Mus musculus: one gene and its partner. The protein of the gene in region 1 interacts with the protein of each later gene in a pairwise test. Links are inferred from orthologs where the notes say so. Each region holds a gene or a part of one and is shown in the gene's direction. Other genes may lie near its edges.

Evidence for each region.
Region 2: the proteins of Fam131c (region 1) and Vsnl1 interact in binary tests that used the Homo sapiens proteins (3 or more experiments, as listed by UniProt). The two-hybrid records come from large-scale screens. The link is inferred for Mus musculus from reciprocal best matches to the Homo sapiens genes FAM131C and VSNL1.

What each region holds. Positions count from the first base shown.
Region 1 is NC_000070.6:141,366,569-141,370,687, forward strand, and holds the start of Fam131c (protein FAM131C), read left to right. Parts: upstream 1-1,623; 5' UTR 1,624-1,734; coding exon 1,735-1,756; intron 1,757-4,119.
Region 2 is NC_000078.6:11,332,079-11,335,578, reverse strand, and holds part of Vsnl1 (visinin-like protein 1), read left to right. Parts: intron 1-3,362; coding exon 3,363-3,500.

The sequences.
Region 1 (4,119 bases):
CTTCCCCCTTATCTTTTTTGAGGCAGGGTCTCATGTAACCCAGGCTGACCTTGAACTCACTACGTAACCAAAGATGACCTTGAACTTCTGACCACCCTGATTCTACCTCCCAAGTGGTGGCATCCCTGCTCCTGTGCACTGTAAGTCACCGGTCTCGGGGCTATCTGTGATGCATGCCCCCTGTTGTCCTGTGTTGTGTATGGAGCAGTGATATTCATGTGTTTTCCTTTCAGATTCAGTTGTGGGTTTAAGTAACACTGTCTATATGAGCCAGGTCTCCATTTACACCTAGGTCTTAAAGCACCAGAGACAGCATGGGGCCACCTCCACTCTGACTTTACTCAATAGCTCGAGTCCCCAGCCCTGGGCAGCCCCAGCAGGCCTGGCTTCTGCTCTGCACAGGGTCTTCAAACCCTTGCTCTAAGCCATATTCATCCCCCAGGGCTGTCTCTAGTGATACAGGGCTGGTAAACAGACCCATTGACTCCTCTGTCTGGAAACAGGAATGTCCAAGGATGGGGTGAGGTGACATTTACCTCAGATACAGGGTGCTTCAGGCCTGGCAAGGTTTGTCACAGCACATCTGACCACTCTCTCCAGGATCCTAAATGAGTGCATGTGAATGCACACAGTGCATATGTGTGAGAAGAGGAACACACACACACACACACACACACACACACACACACACACACACACACGCTAACAGCCATACAAGTGCCAGCAATTAGCCTCCACTATTCCATGACAGAAGTTCCTAGGTAGGGTTTGCCTATACTTCCTTGCTCCAGAGGAGCCCTGGGAGGTAGCCTACCTTCTTGCATGAGACCGCTTATCTAGCCAGGAGGCCACTAATGCAGTGTCTTGGTCCTCCCTCAGAACTCCCTCCCTGGACCAGCATCCTCCCATAAGCAGGTGACTATCAAAAACCCCTGACCTGGAGGCTGGCGAGATGGCTCGGCAGGTTAAAGGTACTTACCAGGAAGTCTGGTTACCAAGTTTGATCCCTGAGACCCACATAGTGGAAAGAAAGAATAGAGTCCCGTCCCCCCCCACCCGCCACCCCAAGTGTACTTTGATCCCTCTCTCTCTCTCTCACACACACACTAAAAATAAAGCTCAGGGCCAGACAGTGGTGGTGCACGCCTTTAATCCCAGCACTTGGGAGGCAGAGGCACGCATACTTCTGAGCTCGAGGCCAGCCTGGTCTACAAACTGAGTTCCAGGACAGCCAGGGCTATTCAGAGAAATCCTGTCTCGAAAAGCCAATAAAATAAAATAAAACAAAATAAAATAAAACAAAACAAAGCTCGATCTTGCTCATTGTGCACAGTGGGATGAGGCTCATCTTTGCAGAATTCCCCTTCCCAGCCCTTTCCCCTGACCTTGAGCTCCAGAAAGCAGGCGCTACTCAGATTTGAAACTAGAAGTCTTCCTTACAGGGCCGAGTCCTGTTACTTTGGTTTGCCTTACTTTGGTTAGCGACAACAGGTACACTGGCACAGAGGGGGCGGGGCGCACCCCAGCCCCGCCCCCTCCGCGCTCCCCGGGTCCCCGCCCGCCGCGGTGTCGCCCGGCCTTGGCAGCTGCGGGCGCGGCGCGAGGCGATCCGGACGCGGCAGCGGGGACTAGGAGCGAGAGGAGGGCGAGCCGCGCAGCCCCGGCCCACGGAGACATGAGCGCGCGGCCGCCCACCGCACCCCAGGCGCAGTGGCCCAGCCCCGCCGCCCCGTGATGGGATCCTGTGTGTCGCGAGGTGAGGACAGGGCGGCCCGGGACGCAGCGAGAAGCGGGGGGCGGGGGGGGGGGCACCAGCGCTCCGCTCAGGGAAGCCAGGGTGGGTGTCCGCCCTTCATGGATCAGCCGCGCCCCAGAGGACACGGTGCGCCCCACGGGGACAGAGCTCGGGAGGGGGGCGAGCAGCGCGCAGAGGGGACGGAGGTCTCCGCACCCCACGCCCCACTCGGCACCCGGCAGGTGGCATGAAGCAAGGTCCGGTGCCATGCTTTCTTCCCCGCAGCTACACGCCTCCTGCAGTGTGCCTGAGAGGGGAGGGAGCCTTCCTATTTTTTCTGGTCCTCTTATGGGCCACTGAGCTCCAGGAAGACCTCGCTCCCGCTCAAGATGCCGGCAGGCCTTTTTAAGCCAGGATCCCATTTCTCCTCTCAGGGTGCCTGTGTCTTTAGCCCCAGAACCCTACCCCCACCCCACGCAGGAAGGGGTCAGTAGGGATGAACAGGTTATCAAGGCTCCCTCTTCCCCACCCTCATCCCTAACTCCATCCCCACCCCCACCCCTGCTCAGGGGACAGGAGAGGACAGAGGACAGCTGATGCTCCCAGTAACCCCTGGGCCTTTGTCTCTCACCTGGCACCTTGGCCATTCCAAGGTGATTCCAGAGAACTGGAGTGACTGTCCCTCATCTGTGGGGTTTGGGGAGAGCACTGTCTGTAAATGGGTGTGTGTGTGTGTGCATAGGATCTTTCATAGATGCTGTGGGGAGGGAATATTTGTATTTGGAGTAATATTTTAGGAGAGGTTGCGGAGTATGGGGACATGCCTGCACTCAGAAAGTGGAAGATCAAGAGCTCAAGGCCAGCATCCACAGCATAGAGAATTTGAGGCCAACCTGGGCTACATGAGAGCCTGTGTCAAAAAAAAAGCAAACACCTCAAAAGAGGTTGGGTCATGCCGGGAGTGGTGGTGCACGCCTTTAATCCCAGCACTTGGGAGGCAGTGGCAGGTGGATTTCTAAGTTCGAGGTCAGCCTGGTCTACAAAGTGAGTTCCAAGACAGCCAGGGCTATACAGAGAAACCCTGTCTCAAAAAACCAAAAAAAAAAAAAAAAAAAAAAAAGAGGTTGGGCCATTGTCCCACTTGGGAGTCTTACCCACTGTGGGAGCAGGGGGCGGGGCCAGGAGTGAGAGTGTACAGAGGTCAAGTCTACTCACCTCAGCCCCAAGGTCTTGCAAGACTGACATTGTATTGGTCACTGGTAATTTACCCAGACAGAGAAAGGTAAAATGGCCTTAGAGTGGGCTGGCAGGCCCCCTGGGGACACCCCAGGAGGGGGTGTTGGAATGTTGGAAGCAGCCCTCTCCCATTCTCTGGACTTTGAGGGCTTCCTCAGGTTCCCGGGGGAGTGTTGAGGGAAGTGACTCAGGGGGTCCCCGGAAGGTGACAGCAGGAGGGACAGGAGGAGCATGGTCAGGCTGTATGAAGTTGGTTCAAGTTGATTGGGGGTGACGAGGTACTTCCTGAGTGTCAGGCACCACGTTAGAAGCAGCTGGGAAAATCCAGTATGGCTCCTGGTCTGTTGAGACCTGAGGAACCCAGCCTGGCATCTGGCCAATGGGACAGTTCTCAGAGTGGAAAGCCCTGAAGGGTCTTTTAGGTCTACTCTCAGAGTCTGAGCTGTCCCCAGAAGCCCCAACGACTCATGGATGGCCTTCCATGAAGGCAGTTGTGGGTGTGAGGTATCTGGATATTTTTTCCTTAGTGACCAGGTCCCTTCTCCACCCCTTGGCCAACCCATGCCGGAGTGCACTGGCCCGTGAGCACAGGAGCCACCCAGAACAGTATAGAGGCCAGACAGCAGTGATGCCTGCCAAAGTCACACTGAGTCTGTGGCCTGGGGTCTCCAAGTCCCGTGCTCCTCCCGTACTCCCCTCTGCCAGGGCAGTTTGTGGTCACGCTGGCTGGGACAGTCTCCATTCTTCATCCTGCATCTTGGGCTTCCTGAGTGACACCCCCAAATCAAGCTGCATTGTCTTAACTTCTCTGTCCTGAGAGGTCTCAACGTGCACTCCAGCAAACTTAGAAGCGAGAGATCTGGTGGATACGTGGACAGAGGTCAGCCATCCTTCTAGAGACCCAGCTGATGACCCACTGGGCAGAGGTTACCTGCTCGCCTGTCACTTGGACGGTTTTATGGCTCACTGGGCTCTACTCTAAAACCCTGTAGGCACAGAAACTAATGCATCCAAATACTATGGTCAGCCCCATTTTACAAGTGACTACGCGACCTTGCCTAGGGCCATAAACTGGGAAAGAGCAAGGACCCGGCTCTGAGTTCTCCACAGCTAGGCCCTCAGCCTCAGCACCACGGAGCCAGCCCTTG
Region 2 (3,500 bases), on another chromosome or scaffold:
TCTCAAGCACCTGCCCTTCCTACAAGCAGAGCAGCCCATAAGTAACGCCTGCCTGTAGAGGGGCAACCTCCACTGGTGCCCGTGACCCACAAAGAGCAAACGTGCCCGTTAGAATATATCAGGTATGTATTTCCTCCTTTCCGCACACAGGATCTGGCGTTCAGATCTCATGTTCACGTCCCTCAGTAGCCAGAAGCGGATGAATGAGAATCCTACTGAGCGGTCACAAAGATGTACACCACTTCCCTGAAGAACCCTTTCCTAAGGTTTCCGGCGCTCTGTTCACCCCGTGGTCCACTCTTAGCACTTAAAAAAGAGCATGGTAGACTCCAGATGATTTCCCACAATGGCTATGTGGTCTAGGCACACATGGACTGCAAGCTGTTGGTCTCTGCATCCCCAACATCCAGGATGGTACTTAAAAAGAAACCTTGTAATTTCGATTAAGTACTAATAAGGGGAGGTTGGGAAAAACATGATTTGGTTAGGGAACAAGGAAGCAAAGGGCAATGCTGGCTCTCAGGACCACATAAAGGTAAGACTGGTGGCCAGATACAGTGGCACATATCTGTAAACCCACATCCTGAGAGGCAGGAACAGGAGGGTTCATGGCCAGCCTGGTCTAGATAATGAGTACCATGTGAGCAGGGTTGCAGAGCGAAACCCTGTCTCAAAAGAAATTGAGAGAAGGGGGAGAAATCTGTGAAAACAATAAGTAGCTTTGAAGTTTCTGTATTCTGAGACATTGAAAAACAAAACAGAAAACTGAAGAATGGAACTCAAGCGCAGCCAAGGTAGAAGTAACTGAGATAGAGATAACTCCACCCTTCCTGTCCGATAGCCATGGAAACTTTGGGATCACCTATGAGCAGTTCCTGGAGCTGAAAGAGCACTTCCTGAGAGACCGCTGCTCCAAAGATGAGACTCTAGGGGCCTTGGCTGACAAACTCAAACTGACAAAAGGACGTATTAGGCTTTGGTTCTCCGAGAAAAGGACTAGGATCAAGCTTAAGCAGTGGTCTACAACCCAGGCCTGCAAGCACTAGGGAATGTACAGTTACCACTGAACACCAAGAGAAACCACCAGGCAGAAACCTCAGGAGACCTCTCGAAATGAACCTGGACTCGCCAAAGCTTTGGAAGCCTTGAATAGTCTCAGGCTCTCTTCTGGGTACCAAAGCAGAGATGGCATGCCACAGGATTTCCGACTCCCTAGTGTATCTAGTACATGCTCTTTTTGTTAAGGTTTTTTTTTTCAACTTCCTTAATGGGCATGGGGCTGTTGGGTTTTATGTCTATCACTGGTGCATTAATGCATAAAGCTCGAATTCATAGAGAAAGAAAAGGAAAGAAAAGGAAAGGAAAGGAAAGGAAAGGAAAGGAAAGGAAAGGAAAGGAAAGGAAAGGAAAGGAGAAGAAAAAAGAAAGCAAAACAATTGCCCTTCTTTTAAGCCGCTAAATGTTGGGGTGATTTTTGCTACCCAAAGACAGGAATAGGAACAGTGTAGAGAAATGACAGCTACTAGAGCCAGTGGTCCTCAACCTTCCTAATGCTGTGACCCTTTTTATTTTTGTTTTGTAATTTTATTTCATGTGCATTGGTGTTTGCCTGCATGTATGTCTGTGTGAGGATGTCAGAGTGCCTGGAACAGGAATTAGTTCCGAGCTGCTATGTGGTTGCTGGGAATTGAACCCTCATCCTCTGAAAGAGCAGCCAGTGCTTTAACAGCTGAGCCATCTCTCCAGCCCCCAGCTGTTACCCTTTAATACAGTTCCTCATGCTGTGGTGACCCCCAACCATAAAATTATCTTGTTGCTACTTTATAACTGTAATTTTGCTACTGCTATATCTGTGTTTTCTTTTGTTCTTAGGCAACCCCTGTGAAAGAGCTGTTCTACAACCCCCCCATAGGGTCCCAACCCACAAGTTGAGAACTACTGTACTAGATACAGTCCGCATTGGCCCCTCTTGCCCCTATAATTCTGTGTAGGCCATACACATAGGATCCTGATATGAAAAGCCCTATTTTATCTCTATGGCAAATTTTCTTTTTCCAATTTAAGAAATTAATTTATTATTAATCTATATGTGCCCACATGTGATATGTGATATATATACGAGTGTGCGCACACAGGTGCCATAGCATGCAGGTGGAGGCCAGAGGACAACTTATGGAAATCGGTTCTCTCCCCCTACTTTACTTGAGCTCCTGGGATCAAATTTGTGTCAAACAGCAGGTGCCTTTCCCTGCTGAACTGTCTTGATGGACCTAGTTCATCTAGTTTCCAGTGTGCTTCTGGGTACGGGAAGAAGTGGGTGCATAGGGCATAGGGTAACCTAGCAGATAAAAACACAATTGTATCCATGGCCCCAGGGGCAATGAGGCCATGGGCTAAGAGAGCACACTGGTGGCTGCTCACATGGTTCTTCCAATCAAACAAAACCTAGGGCAGGAATAGCAGAGACCAACCCTGGTGCTCTGCCAGTGACTCTGACTTACAATATATTCAGCCAGAATGCTAACAGACCTTCCATGCATGCATTCGACAGTGCGGTTTGTTTCTGTTTGGGGCCTTGAGATACATGTATGTGGTTGTCAGTGCTCAGAACTGCCTGCTGTTTGTGGCACACCTAGGATCCTATCTTAGGGGGAACCAGGACCACTGTGAACTGGCTCTCAAGGTCTCAGCCCTACCATAGACATCCTCTCCTCGGCTCCTTGTGTCCATTCTGTCACCCAAGCAGCCTGTTGCCTGCTGGCTCTGTGGAGAAAGCACTTTATGTCTCTCACAATAAGCCTAGTCGTGTTCTATTTTTAATGGATTTTTAAATGTCTGCTCTGCAAAGGAAAAGTCCCTGTTTAAAAAAAGAAAAAAAATTGGTATCTCACCCAGGAAGGTGACACACTGTGTCATGGCACCAGAGACAGAATCAGAAAGCTTGTCCCTGCATCCTGTGGTGTGGTGATCCCAAAGGAACCTAGAAATGTATGTTGCATAGCCCCATGTGGCCTGCTACCTGCCTCTGTCCTGCCCTGGAGGTGACTAATGGAACTACAGGAAAGCAAGGTGTTGAATGACTGGGACCCCATCAATCTGGAGGTCACATGCCTCCACAGGAAATGGTCTATCCCTGTGCTCAAAGAAAGGGGCGACAAGGCCTCCCCTTCTGCCTCCCTTCCCTTGATCATCACTGACCAATGCATTCTGCTGACAGATAAGGCCCATGCTGTCTCCAACCATGCTCCGTAGCCAGACTACACTGTAACGGGGATGGTATGAGCCTCTGCCCGTTCTCCATGCTAACTCTACCCTGGGGCCTCTGTACGTCCTCCCGCTCCTGACTTGTGTGTTCTTTGCAGTTCTTCCCCTATGGAGATGCCTCCAAGTTCGCGCAGCACGCCTTCCGCACCTTCGACAAGAACGGTGATGGCACCATCGATTTCCGAGAGTTCATCTGTGCCCTGTCCATCACCTCCAGAGGTAGCTTTGAGCAGAAA